3 linked regions of the Astyanax mexicanus genome follow. The protein of the gene in region 2 purifies or fractionates together with the protein of the main gene of each other region. This does not show direct contact. Links are inferred from orthologs where the notes say so. Each region holds a gene or a part of one and is shown on either strand. Other genes may lie near its edges.

Region 1 (6,841 bases), on a different chromosome or scaffold from region 2:
TATCTGGCATTGTTCCTGCAAAAACACAGAACATATAAATTGTTACCTAATTTAAGTGATCAATTGATAAGGAATTACCATAAAGGAATTAGATCGTGGTCAGATATGGCCAAAAAATAATCACCATGTTATGTGACAAAGAGATTTATTTTTTAAATTAATTTCAAGAACATATAACTGCAAAGCTTTATTTAGTATAACAGTTTAATATATTCAGGTGACACAAAACATACTGTAATCTAATTTTGACTATTTAATAAACAGTAAATTCTGATTCTGTATAGAATAATAACAGTAAAATGTAACAAAGATAAAGTATTGTGACAAATATCTATCGCAAAACTAAAGTGCCACATAGTGCTGCATATAAACTGCAAACGTAAACAATTAAAAGCTAATACAGAAAATAGTAGGGCTGGGTATACTGATTCTATTTTCACATCCGGTGTGCATTTTTCATGTTCCGAAATATTGTAGCATAGCTGAAAAGACAGCTGTAATGGTTCAACAGGCAGCAAATTATATAATACTGTTCTCCACTCAAAGTGCTGAAGGGAACTGTGTGGAACAGCACAGCCAAAGACCAGAGGAACAGTACGCTAGCTAGCATTAGCATTAAAAAAACAATCTGATAGTAAACAGCTTGAAGAGGCTCTGCATCTTTATTTTGCACTTTCTCCGCTGGTCTGGTATGTTTAGTTAAGTGTGTAAGTTGCTTTTAAGCCCTGGGCCTCCTGAAATCAGTGGTCTAAGGTTCATTTTAAGTGGACTCGGGTATGGAAGCTCACCATGCCTGGGTTCGCATGCGGGTCATGTGATTGGTTTATTTTGTAACGTGGCGCTTCCACATATTGCATTCTCTTCCCCGTTTATCTTTAAATGCTTTCTGAACACACTTTCACTGGACTGGATTGAGAGTACTGTAATCAGCACAGAAATAAACTGTTGACAGGGTATAAGACAGAAACAAGCATTGCGACGTGCCTTGCACAGGGTGTACAATATCGCCCTTAATGTTTTATATTCTACATATTCCTGGAATAAGTCACAAATAGTCACAAACCTAAATAAAAGCCCAGTACAAAGATATATATAAAGTAAGAAGAGTAAATAAAAAAAAATGCAATATACTGTGCAGCCATCAAAATCTTTTTTTTTTGTCATATCACCCAGCACTACACAATACTGCTGATCACTATTGTCATATAGCTTTTGTTTTGTGCCAAAAATGTTTGTGACATTACTGTCTATAATTAAGCACATTCCTAAAATGGAGGATGTGCGAAAACTTACATGTCATTGTGGAGAAGATACAGAGCCAGTAACTGAGAATACACCTGTGGAGTAGCGATGCCACCTGGAGCCTGCAATCACAGCAAACAGCAGACAATGAGAACAGAGCATTAAAGAGAGTTACTAAGATTGATTAATCACATCAAAACTCCAGCAGAGACCCAAGCGTATTATTGCGAGAGGCAGTTTAAGATTAGTAGCTGCATGAACAACTGATTCAGGTGGGTCATGTGACTACACAGAATTACATTTGGGATGTGTGAATCATGTGACTACAAAGAAATACATTAGAGATGCGTGGTGTGGGTCTTGTGACAAGTCAGAACTGATTTACAGATCTGCAGATGTGATAATATTACTAGTAAGAACTATGTTATGGTATATAAAAGGGAGAATACTGGTCAGCTCATCAAGACTACAACATTTCACTAAACACCTGCCGAGTCCAGACACAGAGTCCATTCACTCGTAAATTACAATTCTGCTAAATTATAAGACTGCAAATATAAATCAACGCTGATTCAGTGTTATGGATTTGTGTTGTTTGTATTCTCTAACAATAAATATGTATATCTTGTTTGTATTGTATTCTTTTAGACTGTACTTTGTTCTTGCCAGAAAGGAATAATAATAATAATAATAATAATAATAATAATAATAATAATAATAATAATAATAATAATTCTCCTAATTTTATAATTGATATTGTTACTATTCTAACTACTACTACTACTACTACTACTACCACCAACACCACTATTATAATTAATATTATTGTTATTAATGTTATTAGAGGGAAGCAGCTTTCTCCTATAAGCATTATTGTGAGTGTTAAACATTCAAGGCATTTAAATAATCATTGATTCAATGTCAGAGTTTAACTCTAACCGATGCTGTTTAAAGGTTGTTTTTCCATCATCAACATTAAGGGGTAAAACACTGAGTGATTAATGTTTTTAGAGGCTGTTTGGTATCAATTCAATTCAATTGTAGATATTAGAGCTGCAGTAAGCGGGGGGGTTCAGTAGATGCAGAGTCCACGTCCAGATAGGAATGATCCGCGCCAGGGTTTCGCTCCCACTGCCTGAGCAGCTCCGCAGCATCTCGGAGATACACAGAATCAGACCTGCGGCCGCAGCACAGCTACGGCGCGGATTTTCTGGATCTGGATTCTTCTTATGTTCAGATAAACAACCTCTGTTTTCAGTGATCCCGCACATAAACCGCGGAACTGTTATAATAAAGACCCCGGCCGCTCCGCCAGCGCTCACTCACCAGTTCACCACTTCATTACTAAACTAGCTAACCTACTTCACTAAATAAACAACGCTAAACTAAACTAATCTACAGTAATCCTCAGTCCGAGCTCCCCACACTCTCTCTCTCTTCCTCACCTCCAGCTCCTGCGCCTCGCACTGATCCAGCAGCTTCTCACAGCTCTCCCCCATCACCACCACCGCCACCGGCATGCTCGCTCTCCGTTCAGGACCCAGCAGCTCCCCTTACCCTCCGTTCCCCGCCGCTGTTACCCACTCTTAACCTCGGTTAGCTCCGGTTAGCCGGAGCTTACAGTGCACTGGCTTCTTCTTCACCGCTCGGCTTTCTTACACGCTCCTGGCAGCACCGCCCCTGCAGGCCGCCTGCAGTATTACAGCGCCGGGCTGCAGGTAGTGATGACAATCGAAGCGAGGAGTCCCGAGTCGGATCCTGGCTGCGTCCTTTCCTGCTCCTCTTCTCCAACGCCAGAAGAAGGTGGAGGAAATGAGGAGGAGGAGTGGAGAGAAGGAAAGTAATTGGGGGAATGGGAAAGCTGAGCCCTTTTAATAGGATGGCGACAACTGATCCACTGAGCCAATCACAATGCTGGTTTTCAGCGCCCTAACACTGCCAGCCAATCACAGCTGCTGCAAACAGTCAGCAAATATAGGAAATCGCCTCAGCAACAACAATACAGTTAAAAACTGTTTTCTCCTACTGCTCTGTTACAGTTTAGTGTCCTTTACTCCCAGTTCTAAGCACTCTCGCCATCAGTGTCAGTAAGCTTTGTGTTTACCAACACTTAATTAATAATATTTAAATGAACAGACATTTTAATATTCATTAAAACAGAGTAGAATAATTCGTTTATTTTATACACAGACATTCCAGGATACTGTGGGTCAGGATTCATTCATGCTGTTGTATAACCCTTTATACAGCAGGAGTCACTAGTGAGCAGTATTCAGTGAGGCTTCGGGTAATGAGCAGTCATAAGCTGTGTCTCAATTCAGAGGCTGCATCCTTCGAAGGACGCGGTCTACGAAGGTGTGTCCTTTGAAGGATGGGTAGGCTGCAGCGGCTCTACTGAAATGGGACAGTCTATCCTACGGAGTTTTTCCTGTTTCCTGTTTGAGATTCTACCCGCCACAACTAAACTCAGAGCTGAGAAATGAGCCAGAGATTTTGATTTTCGTTTTGCTTCAGACCACAAAATACCAAATTAATTAAGTCCAGGTTAATTATCTGTGCAATTACTTAAACATTTTAAATGTGAACGAGTAGAACTGAACATAAACAAATAGAGGGCATTTGAAATGAAGTTGGAAAAAAAAAGAATGACTTAGAATAATGTATTATTTAATTTATATATATATATATATAGACAGTTCAATGGGGAAAACAATAACAAAGCTACTGCGCATGTCTGTTCCTTTGACGCTTCCGGTGGCGCTATTTTCAAGTATACAGCTGTCAAAATGAGAGCGCATATTTCGCAAGTCTCCCGAACACAAAGCAAACAGGTCAGAAATTAATAAAAAGTGATCAAACCTCTTTTCCTGATCTTTTTGATAAGGATTTAAGAGGAAAGTTTTTTCCTCTGATTTAAAACGCTTGCCAGAGGTGAACTACCCAGATGTGATCACTATCTCCTTGAAACAGGGCGTGTTTACACCAGACAGGCAGTGAAAGCGTACCACAGTTTGGACGGATATAATTACTTTCTCAGTGGAAAAGTTGGGAATATTTGTTCCTATAGGAGAGAAGCATCACTATAGTGTATTTTGAGGTTGTAGCAAGTCAAACGCTATCCAACACGTACTCTGCATGATTTGTATAAGAAGGAGGGAGACATTGTGAGAAAAGCGAAAGCACGCGTGTCTACTATGGAGGACCAAAAAGTATAAATAAATAAATGCATAAATATATAAATGTTAAAATAAATAAATATATTAATAAAGGCACATATAAATGAATAAATAAATAAATACACATATAAATAATTGTATAGGTAAATAAATAAATGAATAAATATGTGGAAATGTGGAAATAAATCAATAAATAAATGTAGAAATGTTATAATAAATGAATGAATAAATAAATAAATGTTGAAATAAATAAATAAATAAATAAATGTTGAACTAAATAAGTGCACGTATAAATGAATAAATAAATAAATATATGAATAAGAAATGTATTTATTAATGTATTTATTAACCTATACAATTATTTATGCATGTTTTAATTTATTTATATATTTATTTATTTATTCATTTATATGTGCATTTATTTATTTATTTATTTATTTATACATTTATATGTGCATTTATTTATTTATACTTATGTCATTTTTGGTCCTCCATAGTTTACTTGTTAAATAACAATTTGAGAATCTGCTGGTAATGAACTGATTTTCAGTGTTTGTGACTCTCAGATTAGGGGAAGTTTGCAGTCATGTTGCAGCAGTTCTTGTGGCTGTGGAACAGTTTTTAAGGGAAGGTTTAAATTAAATCACATCCACTGTTTTGAACGCTGTTTACCGCAAAACGGAAGTGTCCTAGGAACAGCTACGTCACTTCCTGCACTCATGAATATTCCTCTGAAACGGTCTATAGTATTATGTAGTTTATAGATATATAAATACTATACATATAAACTAAACAATACTTATACAAAAACTAAATAATACATTAATACACACACACACACACATCTTTACTTTGCTAAAAGTCTACTCAAGTAAAAATAAAAGTACCCATCTAAAAATCTACTTGAGTAAAAGTAAAAAGTACTCAATTTCATTTATTATTTCATTTATTATTAATGACCACACAACAAGTTGGTGGAATTTACTTACGGTACAGCATAACATAACATGCTCACATCTATGTCTGTATCAAAACAACAAACAACACATAACAGTGAATAGACAAATACATACATAAACAGTTAAACCTGGTTTAGTAAACGTACAGCAGTTGGGAAAAAACTATTTTTAAATCTGACAGATTTAGTTGACAGTGACCTGTAACGTCTTCCAGAAGGCATAAGTGTAAATAGATGATATGCAGGATGGGAGGGGTCTGAGGTGATTTTTATTGCTCGTTGTGTGATGCGTCTGTAATATAAAGTGTCAATGGATGGGAGGATGTGCCCTGTGATTTTTGATGATTTATCTACTATACTTTGCAGTTTTTTGCGTGAATGGGTATCCAAATTCCCATACCACACTGTTATGGATGAGGTGAGTATGCTTTGAATGATGGCAGTGTAGAACTGAAGAAGGATATTTTTCCTAACTCTGAATTTTTTTAGTTGTCTGAGAAAGAATAGCCTTTTGTTGGCTTTTTTGTAGAGTTGGTGTGAGTGTAGTTTCCATTTAAGTGTGTTGCTGATATGGGTTCCCAGAAATTTGAATGAATCAGTGATGATAATGGGTTGCGAAAAAATAGAGATGGGTATTTTGTATATGGGTGTGCGAGAAAAATCAACTATGAGTTCCTGAGTTTTTAATATGTTAAGCTGTAAATTGTTATTTTGGCACCAAGTGACTGCTTGGGCAACCTGTTCGCGATAGTGATGTTCGTTATTGTTGGTGATAAGACCAATTATTGTTGTGTCATCTGCATATTTGAGAATAGAAACTGAACTGTGGGTAGATGTGAGGGTGTTTGTGTAGAGTGAGAATAACCACGGTGAAAGAACACAGCCCTGGGGGGCTCCTGTACTAAGGGTCAGAGTTTGGGAAGAGAGGTTACCCATCCTGACTCTCTGCGTTCTTTTTGACAAAAAATTGTGGATCCAGTAACATAGAGCAATATCAATGTCCATATCCCTAAGTTTATTGAAAAGATTGATGGGATTAATAGTATTAAAGGCCGAACTAAAGTCAATGAACAATATCCGAGCATATGTATTAGGGGATTCCAGATGTTGCATAATCCTATGAAGGGCCAGGTTGACTGTATCATCAACAGATCTATTGGCCCGGTACGCAAACTGATAACTGTCCATGGAAGGAGAAGAGTGTTCTTTTATGGAGTGAATTTTGTGCCAAAAGTTTTACACAAAAAAAATAAATCCGCAATCAAAATGTTAGGAATCAAAAGCAAAAATTGTATGTTACAAATTCAAAAGAGAAAAAATATATAGCAAATATATATTTTTAAATATAATTGGTTATTTTATTATCCTTTGCAGTATTATTTCAGTTTGGTCTTTGCTTTTATTTTTGTGTTTTTGTGAATTTTCTGTGGATTTTTTTTTGGATTTTTCTGTTAAAGACTTTTGC
Region 2 (7,020 bases):
TTTTATTTTATATAAATCTATGGCATGATAATCACTAGCAAGGTTTAAAACTGTGTTTTAAAAAAGTGCACACTCCACTTGTCCGTAGTACGCACTTTACTTGCAGTGCTGTGCAGTGCATAGCCTAATAATTTTTTGTTTGTTTGTTTGTTTGTTTTTGCACATAGACTATAAGCTCAATATAAAAATATTTTGTTAAGATTTATTTTCTTATCTTAAAACATGTTAAATTATATTAGATTAGAATAAAGTCACTCAGAATTAATTCTTGTAGCCTAATTTTGGGCCTGACCTAAGCTCTACCAGATTATCCCAAAAGTATTGAATGGAGCTCCCTCAGTACAGAAAACTCCTCTACAGCCCAGTGAGGATGGCTTTAGAACCGAGGCTTAGCACTGGGGCATAGCGACTCTAGGTTCATATAGGTACATATAAAACCAGCGCATCTACACTTATCAAACAATCAATAGATGACAGATTCACTAACTGAATCTGAATTTTACTTTTAAAGAGGCCAATTCATCATGCAGGGTTCTTGCTCTTTGTTAAAAGTCAAATTGAACGCTTTTTAAGACCTTTTTAGGACCTCAGTAAATATGTTATAAATATTATATTATAAATATTTAAGGCCCAAAAATGTAGTTATAACTTCTTAAGTAGAAAATAATTTATTGTGTTAAAAATTAAAATGTAACGTTTCCCATTTATGATCAATTTTCTTCATCAATTTTGTTCCACTGTGATGCAGAACCTGTTAGCATGTTACTAAGCTCTCCGCTAATGTTAGTGCTTTCCCACTGGCATTAAACGCACCATCTAAAAATGTAATACCTACAGTAAATTTACAGAAATGTTAAGACAATTTAAGAACTAAATTATGCATATTTTAAGGACCTGCGGGAACCCTGTCATGAAATTTGTACACACTAGAATTATTAAATGCAAGGGTCAAATAATGTAAAAAATGTAGAAAAGAATATACAAGTAACAGTGTTTCATTTCTATATAGTATATAAATACACACTTGACTAGTGTTTTTTATCAGAAGTGCAGCAATTAAGCCCTTGCAGAAGAATGCAGATACATTTGTGATAAAATAAATAAATTAAAAGAACACTGCATCATTACCATGCTATTAGCAGTGCTCTGTAGGTGACTGCAAAAGAGCAGTAAAACTCAGTAAACTTACTGCAGGACATTTAGGGCAACATATCTCCTCAAAGGGAGTCAAGACATTTAAGTCTAATTTGGGAAGCCTCTACCAGTTCTGAAAAACTTCAGAACCATGACAACTTTACAACTTTCAATGGAAGTCAATGTAAACACTCTTTATTCCAAGTAGGGAAGCCCCATATATTCACCAACCAAAATCATTCAGCTAAAAAGGCAAAAAGGCACTTTCATTGTTTAGCTGGCTCATTTAAAAAGTTTAGTGTTGAATATATATTTTTTTGTTTTCATAAAAAAAAAACAGGACAATGCATTTTAAAATGCTATTTAAAATATATGAGTACTTTTTTGTCAAAAATTTTAAATGGCTGGTCAAAGATATTTTTAGGATTACAGCTATAGTACATGACATATCACATTTTGGTTTTAAGTAACTTATTGACTTATTTAACCTAGTTAGTTAGCTAAATCTAGCTAACTAGTAAACCTGTAACACAAAATAGCTAGTGTAATGGTATAAATATAACTAACCTACACACCTTTAAATGTTTAAAACCACAACATTTTGGGGAAAATTTGAAATTTGCAGATTGTAAAGCCTCACAGTCCTACAGTAAAACTACAGAGCAAACTTTAGAGCACCATCATGTCTTACAGCTAGGGCTAGGCATCTTCAAAAGCATTTCTATCGGTCTGTTTATTAGTGAAACTCGACACAACGTAGAAAACTGTCAGATTAACATTGTCATAAAGTGAAAAATGGTAGATAAAAGATGTTTTTAAGATTACAGCTAAGGTTACAATATATGAAATATCTGTTATCACATTTTGGGCTTAAGTATTGACTTATTTAACCTAGCTAAATAGTTAACTAAATCTAGCTAGGATAACGTTAAGCCAACCAGTAACTTTTAAGCCAATATAACTTGTGCAATAGTATAAGTTAAATATAATTAAGCTAGTTACACACCAAGTATTAAAAGCACAACATTTCAGGGTAAAATTGATTTGAGCAGATTTTGAAGTCTTACAGTCTTACAGTAGAACTACAGAGCAAACTTCAGACCACCACCATGTCTTACAGCTAGGGCTAAGTAAGTAGCCAGCCAGCCAGCAGATTGATGAACTCCATTTGTGGCTATATTAAGGAAGGCTCGTTATACAGTTAGTTAACGCTGGTTATATGAGTTTTCTGTGAAGCTTTATAAGCCGACAGTTGGGTAATTACCCGGATTTACCCGTTGGGATTTAAACCCGTTTACTTATAAAAACACAGTCACGAGCCTAACAGTACGGAGGCCTAGCTAGTTAGCCGGATAGCCGCTTCAGCTAGTCTGACATTTCAGTGATTTCGGTTTTGTTTAGGGAGCTGGAGCTGGAGTTTAGTGGAGGTAAAGACTGAGACAGGCCCAAAACAAGGAAGCTACTCCCCAAGTAAAGTTACTGGACCGTCCTTTTAGTCAGAGCGCTGAAATCCGAACTCTAACCGAACCGAAACAGCAGCTAGTCGGCTAAACCCGAGCGAGCCTCCGATCCAGAGAGGAGCTCCAGCCCGCAGCTCCTCCTCCCGCAGCCCCGACACCCGGCCCCGGCTCGCCCGCGCCCTAAACACGCGGATAAAGGCGCGGTTCTGGGTGTGTAGCTGAGTGTCGGTGGTTACCTCGGGGTTCAGGGTCAGTGCGCTCGGTTTCAGTGAAGTTCCCCCGCTGTCAGAAAGCCCGATTCTCTCTCTCAGACCTGCTCCATCGCAGCAGCAGCAGCAGAGGAGGACAGCACAACTCCATCAGCTGGAGGGATGTCAGACTCCACACACACTGCGGAACTGGGAAAAAGCTGTAAAACACACACCAGGAACCTGTAATAATTTTAAGTTAACTACAAAGCTGATGTACAGAGTGTTAAATATCCCTTCTGTGTAAGAACAGACAGATTTAACAATATTTCGCTATTAAAACTCCCCCATTTCGAGTTGGTTTTGTCCAAAACTACGGAATCCAGCTCAGGACAGTTCACCTTCGCGCACACCGCTCTGCTCCGAGGCCGACCTGAGGTGCATGACGTCAATCATCAAAAAACTGAGAAGAAATGAGCAAATACAGGTGCATCTCAAAAAAATAGAATATTGTTGAAAAGTTACTTTATTTCAGTAATTCAGTTCAAAATGTGTGTTTATTTCTTTATGGTTGATGATTATGGTTTACCCAATTGGTACTTACCCACTTGTGGGCAGTGTGCCAAGTCCTGCTGGAAAATGAAATGTTGTCAGCAGAGGGAAGCATGAAGTGCTGTAGAATTTTCCAGGAAAACACTGCACTGACTTTTGACTTGATATAACACAGTGGACCAACACCAGCAGATTGAGACATGACTTTCCAAATCATCACTGATTGTGGAAACTTCACACTAGACCTCAAGCAGCTTAGACTGTGTGCCTCTCCACTATTCCAGACTTTGCTCCCTTGATTTCCAAATGAAATGCTAAATTTACTGATGATCAGTGATGGTTGGAAGGACTTCACTGTCATACCCACTGTTAATTCCCCCTGAACATTTAAGAACTGTGTGCACTTATTCCCTTTGTCAGCCTTAAGCAATTATACCACTATATTTGCACTACTGTTATACGGGTTCTGTTTATACTTGTACTGTCATTTCCTCTTTAATCTCCCCCTCACGACTATTGCACTATTGTCTTGTGTCTTTTTGCCTCTGTGTCCTTGTTGTATTGTACATATAGAGTCTCCCATTATTTTATATTTATAATCTTATTTTCTGAACTTTCTGTAACTTTTGGGAAGGAGAGTAACGTAATTTCAATTCTTTGTATGTCCTCTACATATGCAGTATTGACAATAAAACTACTTGACTTGATTTGCTTCCCTCTACTGACAATTATGGAAATGCAGATTTTATATTCTAGCAGGGCTTGGCACACTGCCTACACTGCCAAAAGTACCAATTGGTCTTATATAATATTTTAATTTTCTGAGACACTGATTTTTGGATTTTTATTGGCTGTAAGCCATAATCATTATCATCAATAATAAAATATCACTCTGTGTGTACAATTTAATTGGAATGCTCTTATTGAAAATATTCACTGAGGTAAAGGATGATGGAATCCTTTTATATAAGGTGTATAAAACAAAGTAAAAGAAATACACTTAAATATCCCCCATGCAATTCTCTAATAAATATATAATAAGATATAAACAATATTTTACATTTTGAGGTAACTGTGATAAAAACCTGGCTTATCTTTTTTTTATTGTAATACGGTCTTTAACTTTTAGAAAAAATTACCATTTGTTTCTCCTATGCGAATGCAAATATTTCTTTTTTTTTTTTACTTCAAAACACAAGTTGTTACATTGAATTAAAAAAAACAAACAAATCTCTTGAAACTGCTGTTAATTGTTTATTCTTTCGGCACAGAATTAAATGTGCCGAAAAAGTCTAAAGAATATACCCACATTTATTATTTTTGGAATATCAGAATATATAATAATTAGTAGAATATTTCATAAAAAGCCTTAGAATTGTTAAAAAAAAATATATGGTAACATATATGTATGTGTGTGAGAGAGAGAGGTGATCCCCATTGTCTACACTCTATATCTGACAGTTTACAGGCTCTGAAACACACACAGCTCCAGATTAAATGTAATATATTAATAATACACAGAATAAAGGTGTGAATTTCTCTCAGAGCGGAGAGAAACCGAGCACTTCTTCCGCATCATTATGCGTGTCGTCAGCGGATATTACGAACCGACAGACCAAAACAAATGTTGTGGGTTGCCAGGTGTAGATAAACCCCCGAGCTACACTCCAGGTTTTAACACAAATTACATTAGCTTAAAACGCAATTTAAACTTGTTATGTGCATACATACATACACAGTACCAGTAAAACGTTTGACCACCTCTTCTTATTCAATGTTTTTCTCTATATCCACTATTAAAATCTTTAATAATCTTCTTAATCCTTAAGAAAAAGAAAGTATTAGAGAAGAGGGTTTGTAGAGGATCTGGCAGCCCCGGCTCTGACGCTGTGTGGTATACAGCGCTCGGGTTACACGGCGCTTCGCCCGCTCTCAGGTTCACTTCCATTCAGCCCGTCTGATAGTGGAGGTCGCTGAGCTGGGGGTCAGTGGAGCTGCAGAATGGCCTCTGTAGCTGCGGTCCGGGCGGGTTTCAGAGCCGCGGGGAGGGAGCTGAAGAGCCGGGTCAGCGGGCAGCAGCAGCTCGGGCCCTTCCGGAGGATCTCAACTCGTGTAACTAAGAATTTATCTTGATCTTAAACCTCTCTGATCTTACAGCTGTTCACCTGTGATTCTCTTATGATATTACCTGTGATTTGTCTCTTAAATTACCTGTGACACTAACTGATATCATAGCTGTTTACCTGTAATTTGTCTCAGTTATTACCTGTGATACTCCTCTAATATTTCCATTTGATTCTCCTCTGATAGCATAGCTATTCACCTGTGTTACTCCCCTGATATCATACCTGTTTACCTGTGAAACTCCTGATATTAACTGCGATACTCCTCTAAAACCATAGTTGCTTAACTGTGATTTTCCTCTGATATCATAGTTGTTCACCTGTAATACTCCTCTTATATCATATAGCTGTTCACCTGTGTTACCACTTTGATATTAGAGCTGTTTACCTGATAACATAGCTGTTTACCTTTGATACTCCTCTAAACCATATCTGTTTACCTGTGATTTTACACTGATATCATAGCTGTTTACCTGTGATTCTCATCTGATATTATGTCTGATGCTCCTCTGATACTCTGATATTACCTGTGATACTCCTCCTCTATCATAGCTGTTCACCTGTGATACTTATCTGATATCATAGCGGTTCACCTGTGATACTCCTCTGATATCTTAGCGGTTCACCTCTAGTACACCTCTGATATCATAGCTGTTTACCTGTGATTCTCATCTGATATTATGTCTGATGCTCCTCTGATACTCTGATATTACCTGTGATACTCCTCCTCTATCATAGTGGTTCACCTGTGATACTTCTCTATCATAGCTGTTCAACTGTGATACTCCTCTGATATCATAGCTGTTCACCTGTTATACTCCTCTGATATCATAGCTGTTCACCTGTTATACTCCTCTGATATCATAGCTGTTCACCTGTTATACTCCTCTGATATCATAGCTGTTCACCTGTGATACTTATCTGATATCATAGCGGTTCACCTGTGATACTCCTCTGATATCATAGCTGTTCACCTGTGGTACTTCTTCTCTATCATAGCTGTTCACCTGTGATACTTCTCTGATATCATAGCTGTTCACCTGTTATACTCCTCTGATATCATAGCTGTTTACCTGTGATACTCCTCTAAACCATAGCTGTTTACCTGTGATTTTACACTGATATCATAGCTGTTTACCTGTGATACTCCTCTGATATTATAGCTGTTTACCTGTGAGACTCCTATATTACATTTGATACTCCTCTGATATTATAGCTAGTGTTTTACTATGTGAAACAGTAGATTATTCTGAGCATGATCTTTCCAGCTGCAAACTAACTAGTTACAGGACTTGTTACAGAGTAGCTTCAGTGTTTTTCTGCGCACCTATAGTTATAAATGTACAGTGGACCAGTCAGCCCCCAGCAGCAGTGGGTTATATCTGCACTCTGAACTGCACTAGCTAGTAGATTAGTAGATCTAGGGGAAAGAGCACAGAGCCTCTGACAGGAGCATGATTTACCCAACACTGTAAAAAGTTGCTTAAAGTCCATATGCTAAAAGTGCAGGGTAAAACACTTTAAACACTTGCATTGTTGTACACTCTATTCACAGTGGATACG
Region 3 (7,140 bases), on a different chromosome or scaffold from region 2:
TGCAATTCTGGGAAATTCTATTCCTCTAAATCAATACACACAAGCACTAAAAATATATTTAATATACTGTAGAAAAGAGTACAGTTTTTAATACTAAAGACACTGCACAAAATGTACAAATCAAACTCCCTCTTAGACTTCCCTCTTTCTGAGGTAATCACTTCATCTTTATCTAAAAATAAAGACAAATCAAGTGCACATGAGCATATGAGGGACAACATATTTGATTAAGCATCTTTAAAACGTTGAATTCTCCAACAAACCGAAAATGGGAAAATGGAATGTTTGGCTCATCTGCTGGCACTTTCTTATTCTAAATTGCAACAGAGTGATGTCATGACCTTAAATCTCTGAAAAGTAAATTAACTGATTATCTTGCTGCAACGGCGAATGGGTGGGATACTGTATACTGTATTAGGTAGCAAGTGCGCAGTTGGTTCTTGAAAAAATGGGCAAGCGTAAGAATCTTAAACACTTTGACCAAGGGACAAATAGCGATGACTATATGAATGGGTCACAGCATCTCCAAAACAACTTGAATAATGAGCGATCCTGGCATGCTGTGGTTGCTACCTACCAAAAGTGATCAGACATAGCACAACAAACAGACTCAAGAATGTCCAACCTCTCAATCTACAGAATTGTTGCTAATATCTTCAAGTTAGATACATCAAAACAAGTTTTATGGAGCATACTCCAGGATGGGTTAAAACTGTTGCCTGCAACATATTGAGACACGAACACATCAAATCAAGACATTGGAGTATTGTATCTTGGTGAATTATGCAAACAACATTAGGAGATTGCAGCGTAAAAAGTTAGTGTGGTGTGGAAATAGCATTATCAGTGAGGAAAACTAACAATTTCACTCTTTGAAGCAATAGCTTGCAAACAACCAACCCTCAACTCCAAAACAACAAGAGCGTGCACCACAGTTCTCTCATCTCTATCCATAGTAAGTTAATAGTAAATTGTACCTCAATTTAACACTCATTTACAATGCTGCAATAAACAATGTCGTCATTATTAATTATTGTCAACATTGACAAACACAATAGGCGAAATCAGGATCATCATATATTATTATGGTGATGTCCAATTTTTTCAATAATGTACTTATTGTGACTAAATTTTGTAGATTTGTACTGAACTTACTTGACATTGGTTAAACGTGAAATATTTGATGGATAATATTTTTAATGTAGGTTTTAAACTTGAAGTGTTGAAATTTTATGTTATGAACACATTAAAACAAAAATGTCTGATCCATAAATTTAAACCTATCTGACTGAAAACTGTTTTTATAAGTTAAATGATGTGTTTTGTTTAATTTTCCTGAAAAGCCAGGATGTTTCAACTATGAAGGAAATGTTTTCAAAGCAAAAAGCATTGTTAGTTTTTATTACCAAAAACTTTTATACATGAAATAGATGGTTAGCGTTACTATTCTTAGACCGTTTTATTTAACGTTTTTAAACGTTCTGGTAACGTCGGTGAATTGGTGTTAACGTATTTTAATTTTTGTGTTAGCAATGCTACTTTTAACGCTTTGATAAATTTTAGCATTGGTCTAGATTGGAATGTTATGTGAGAAACGCTTATATTTTTACATTATTAGCTACTTCACACGTTTTCAGAAAGTCCCTTAAAATTATTTCTCTAACGTTACAGTATAATATTACTTTTTGCTCAAGTTTAGTAAATGTTAAGTAGATTTAATTTAGATTCGAGCAATTGTCAACTTATGTGAGCTGCATAGTTTTGCACCTGCAGCCACTTACTATAAAAACACAACGTGAGTCAACTTCCACTGGTTACAATAATAATGGCACCAGCATGCTAAACATCTAAATTACCTAGATAGCTAACTAACTAGTTAACATACATTGTTGCCCCACAGACTAAACTCCTGGTGATAACTTAATAACCTTAGTGTTGACAGAGAAAACACGACTATTCTATTAGCTAAATAGATTAGCCAACGAGTTAATGACAAGACAAGATGACAAGTCAACTTTGTGACAGGCCACACTAGCTAGCCAGCTTTGTTAAATTAGTCAGCTAACCTACATCTACATCTCATGTTAGTAGATTTGTTCAAAATATAACGTTGACTATCATCCAAACAACTGTTACTGTGCAATAAAACGGTGATTATCTGTTTCATAGTTAAGTTAGCAAGCCAGCGCAGCCTCCCTCCGCACCAGCCTGCTCTAGAAGAGCTCATAGCGCCCTAATGTTTGCTAATAGTGCTAGCTAACGTAACTGGCAAAATCAGCCGTTTAGCGCGCTAACCTGAGGAGCTAGCTTGCTTACATTGTTAGCGAGTTAGTTAGCAAGCTAGCTAGCTTACTGTTAGCACAAATCCCCACTTACAGCGAATTAACTCCATAAGGTTGATTTAAAAGCAAAAATAAGACGTTCCAACTGTCTTTAGCTATCTTATAACTTGTCGACTAACTGGCTGGTGCGCTAAACACAACAGCGGCGGATCTGCGGCCTAGCTAACTAGCAAGCTAAGCTAACCAAGCTAGGCTAGCTATCGTTAGCTTAGCCTACCCAGCTCCAAACTCAGTGCACGATCCCCATTTCAGAACGAAAACACGGCCCACACGCGCTGCAGCTCTAACAACCACACATATACCCGAACTTCACACCGCAGCGGCGGTATTCGGGAGCATGGCTCACCTGAAATCCTTATCGCTGGAAGTCATTTTTTCCAGGAGATTAGAGATGTGGTATGAGGCGCTCGCCATATTTGCAGTCAGTCAGTTGGAGCAGCTCGCTGGTAGCAACCACTTGTGAGTATCGCGGCCACAATCACTAGTTATCCTCCCCCTCCACTTTCTCGCGTAGCTGCAGCGCTGCGACACAAAGCCGGTTCTCCACGCTCTCTGCAGTCTCTGTGCGGCTCTAGCAGGGCGGCGGAGTTACACTTGCATCCCCCTGAGTTTGGAGGTTTGAATGGAGGTCCTGCTTCGCTCTGCAAGAGGGAGGAGCTGCGGCTCCAGACGGAGAGGGCAAAGTTGAGAGAGATCTCTGTGGGCGGGGCCTCGCCTTCACCGACAGCTAAACTGGCCAATCGCAACGCAGGAATAAAGATTACAGAGTTTGGAGAGGTTCAGCGACAACACAGCTAACAGTTTTATTTAGTATCATTTTTAGTTCTAATTTATTCCCATTTTCTCCCTAATTTACACGTCCAATTACCCAACAATTCCCTATCACTAGTGATGCCCCAACAACAGGGGGGTAAAGACTGGCACATGCCTCCTCTATTATATGTGAAGTTAGCATTACTGAGTAGCATCACAGCGCAGTGAGTCGGTTCAGATCATAGACTGTGTATAGCTGGACAGAACATCGTCTCTCAAAAGTGAAGCCACCACAGGTCGGGCGCCCCCTGCTGTTCGGCTGCAGAAAGCTGTATAACCCCACCCACCCCCATAGGTTTCAATGGCAAAACAGACAACTTTCAATCACGTTTTTTTCTAATATACTGTAATTCTTCCACCTTTATTTAAATGCAACAGCTGGTGTAACCTCTGCTTATATTGTCAATTTGTTTTATATTCCCACAGAATTCGTTTTTTAAAGCGTTATTCAGCTCTATTTAAAAAGGTGTGGTTATTGTAAAAAGGGCTGGGTTACACCTAGCTGGGGTGGGACCAATGACTGTATGGGCGGGACCAATAACAGACCGAACCTGCATCATGTTCTTTTTTCCCCTTACGTCAAGCAGTAGACTAGTACTAGTAGTTAGTCAAACGTTTAGCTAGCTAACTACCATTATTATTTTTTATTAGCTAAACTGAATTTAGATAGCTGTATTATTAATGTCGTGTTCTGCTGTTAATTGCTCTAACAGACATTCTGGACAAAGTTCTTTGCAGTTTTTTCGGTAAGTTTGCTGGCTGTTTTTCCCTCCACTCCTTTGTCTGTGTGCATTTTATTTTATTAGTTATCATCTTAGACGAACCATTTAATCTCGGTTGGATTTTATAGCTAGCTTAATTTGTTAGCTAACATTAGTGTAGTTATCTAACTAACTATATTCGCTAGACTCTGTAGAATTCATATTTTTACTTGGTCAGTGGCTTCGCCCGTCACCGGTGCGTGCGGCAAGCTGACCCAGATAGCATGAAGGCTCTGCCCGAGATCCGCTGATGTACGGCAGCACTGGTTTAGACTCTGCATAATCCGTGCAGAATTTAGCCAAATGTGCTCAGTTTGTCTCAGCAGCAAAATTAACTGAGCTTCAGTACGGGATTCGTCTCGTTGTTTAAAGCAATAACTAGTCCTGGCATTCACTGCCGTTTGGTGATGTTTTTTTTTTCGCTGTATTTTATTCACTTCCACTTGCTACATACAGAACTATCATGTGGTTATCATGTGGTTAATATCCATAACGTGCACGAACTGCACTGTTACTATGAAAATATTAACCTTATCGTGCTGCAGATAAGTTCTCCGCTCGGCTCGGTTTGTCAGACTGTGTGAGCTCTGTTGAGGCAGCCCTCAGGGGCGGGTTTATTTAAATGAGTAGGCTGTCTCTCCACAGTCTTTCTCCCTCCTCTGGTCTCTACTGCGCAGACTCTGGTCTCTGAATCGCCAAAATGGCGGAAGATTTTGGCTTCATTTTCATTGAATGAATGGGAACGGCGACACGGCGTCCATCTTTATATACAGTCTATGGTTCAGATAAATTAGCTCTCAGGTGGGTCCATCTACCCACCTCGAGAAAGAGCAAGACCAGTTGTCCTCTCTCAGGGCTCCAGTAGCCAATAGCAAGCTATATGAACAGGATTTCATGGTGGAATAACCCTTGTGTTTAATCACAGTTTTTATTAATCTTATTGTCCTCCACCAGTCTTGCACACTGCTTTTGGATAACTTTATGGCATTCCTGGTGCAAAAAGTCAAGCAGTTCAGCTTGGTTTGATGGCTTGTGATCATCTTTCTTCCTCTTGATTATATTCCAGAGGTTTTCAATTTGGTAAAATCAAATAAACTCATCTTTTTTTCGTTGTCTCTTGTTTTTTTTTCCAGAGCTGTAATAATTCAGCCAAAATCACTTGATATTCCCAACCCTAATAGAGATTGTGATAAATTACCTAGGTAGCTAAAGTTAGCTAACTTTAGCTAAAGCTTAGTGCTTACCATACAAATCTATTCATATGTGCATTAAATATTTAAAGCCTCTCTAAAGCTCACCTTGTTAGAGTCTAGTAAATGTTGGGTAAATTATTGTGTAATAATTCTAAAAAGGTAAGTTGGTGATGGAATTAAACACATCCACTGGGGCGTTGCTACCTTGATTTAATCCCCAAAACTAACTCACAAGCTCTCAACTACATTGTTATTTTTTATTGTATTCATTTTTGACTGCACAAGCTTCAACATTTTTACAAGCAAACCCATCTTTATTGCTGAGATAAAGGTTTTTAAATAATGTGCTTAGGTGTCTAAAACCTTTGCATAACATTTTATATGTGCAGTCATTCATTCCTCTTCTTATCTGCTTCCCTACGGTCAGGGTTGCACTAGGTTCTGGAGTCTACCTGGAATCCCTGGGCAAGAGGCAGGAATTTGCCCTGTAGCCTGCACCAGTCCATGGCTGGATACCGCACACCCAGCACACCCAGTACACCCAGTACCTCACACCCTCACAACTAGGGGCAATTTAGCATTGCCAATTCATTTTGCTATGCTAAACCCACAACCCCAGGCCTCTGGAGCTGTGCAGCACACACACACTACCTTTTGTGTCACCTTTTGTGCTTCTTCATTCACATTCAGTTTGTATGTTTTTAGGTTTACAATCTAAATGATTTAACTTAAAAATCACTTTAAATTCAACTTAAATTCACTGAATTAGTTTAAAGGAGCAATACATACTGTCATTTACCTAAGAAATGTGCAAGCTGAATTGAGGAAACAGGATAGATATTTGTTACAAATACTATTAGCAGGTAGTAAAAAAACAATAACTGTTAGTGGAGATTGCCGGTTTGAATCCTGTTTATGTAGCTTGCCATTGGCTACCAGAGCCCTGAGAAAGCACAATTGGCCTTGCTCTCTCTCTGGGTGGGTAGATGGCGCTCTCTTCCCACATCACTACAAAAGGGCTGATGTATCGGAACAGAGTCGCTGCGCTTTCCTCCGAGTGCGCTGTGATGCTACTCAGCAATGCTGCATCAGCAGCAGTTTGGAAAGAGGTGGTGGCTGACTTCAGATGTGTCGGAGGAGGCGTGTTCTTGTTTTCACCGTCCTAGTGTTGGGCTATCACTAGTGATGGGGGAGTCCTAATAGGAGGACTATTAGAGGAAAAAATGAGAAAAAAGACAGTTTGTGCCAAACCTCACAATGATTCATGATGATTTCTGTAGTAAGTTGTGTATCCAGGTCCCTAAAGTTGAACTAATCTGCGTTATTCTCAGTTTTATGACTTCATTGTAGACAGGAGGCCAAACATGATTGCGATAATGGGACACTTACGCAGTGGAAAGACACAGTTGTGTGCTACTCTAGTATTAGAGTGCTCTAATACAGACATGGCTGGAATAGCTGCTCTAAAAGCAGGACTTTTCAGACACATGCAGAAGCAAATGTACAAATAAATGCAGCCAAGTCCCAATCTCATTATGTTGAAGATATAAAAAGCCAATAATGTAAAAAAGGAAAAAAAGTGCAAATAGTGAAAAATAATCATGTTGGCATTTTGGTCATTTGTGGCAGCCAACTTTGTTTTCTGAAAAGCCATTTGATTACGCCCTCATCAATCCAGGGCCAATTTATTTGCACCGCAACAAGGAACCAATTTGCCATAAAATCTGTTATGATTTCTAAGAATACCCTCAACAGCTGTGTACTAAATTGCTCTTAGATGGACAGCAGGTGGCAAAGGCATAAAAATGAGATTGAGGGCTGAGTTTAATGTTGGGGTGGAAAAACACAACAAACAGTTTAGCACAGGGCATTTCCTACTTAACATCATCAAACTGATTCAATGACTCAAATTCATTTTATAGTGAAGGTCACTCGTGGTCTGAATGCAATGCAAGGTTTGTTGTAATTTCAGACATTATATACAATGTTCCAAACAAAGCAGGGTGTTATATAACTGATAAATGACAAATA

The links. Proteins that work in one complex are often made in the same cells at the same time.
Region 1: the proteins of cul2 (region 2) and cops8 purify together in Homo sapiens (affinity purification with mass spectrometry; 4 studies listed by BioGRID and IntAct, counting the BioPlex papers as one, with this or other methods). This does not show direct contact. The link is inferred for Astyanax mexicanus from reciprocal best matches to the Homo sapiens genes CUL2 and COPS8.
Region 3: the proteins of cul2 (region 2) and cand1 purify together in Homo sapiens (affinity purification with western blotting; 7 studies listed by BioGRID and IntAct, with this or other methods). This does not show direct contact. The link is inferred for Astyanax mexicanus from reciprocal best matches to the Homo sapiens genes CUL2 and CAND1.

Annotation. Positions count from the first base shown.
Region 1 is NC_064418.1:23,877,681-23,884,521, forward strand, and holds the start of cops8 (COP9 signalosome complex subunit 8), read right to left. Parts: upstream 3,011-6,841; 5' UTR 2,763-3,010; coding exon 2,688-2,762; intron 1,365-2,687; coding exon 1,294-1,364; intron 16-1,293; coding exon 1-15. UniProt on the Homo sapiens protein: Component of the COP9 signalosome complex (CSN), a complex involved in various cellular and developmental processes.
Region 2 is NC_064413.1:45,837,245-45,844,264, forward strand, and holds the start of cul2 (cullin-2), read right to left. Parts: upstream 3,028-7,020; 5' UTR 2,831-3,027; intron 2,355-2,830; exon of another isoform or gene 2,202-2,354; intron 1-2,201. Other genes in the region: rmdn1 (regulator of microtubule dynamics protein 1), read left to right, coding at 5,336-5,446.
Region 3 is NC_064409.1:11,542,002-11,549,141, reverse strand, and holds the start of cand1 (cullin-associated NEDD8-dissociated protein 1), read right to left. Parts: upstream 3,011-7,140; 5' UTR 2,757-3,010; coding exon 2,689-2,756; intron 1-2,688. UniProt on the Homo sapiens protein: Key assembly factor of SCF (SKP1-CUL1-F-box protein) E3 ubiquitin ligase complexes that promotes the exchange of the substrate-recognition F-box subunit in SCF complexes, thereby playing a key role in the cellular repertoire of SCF complexes.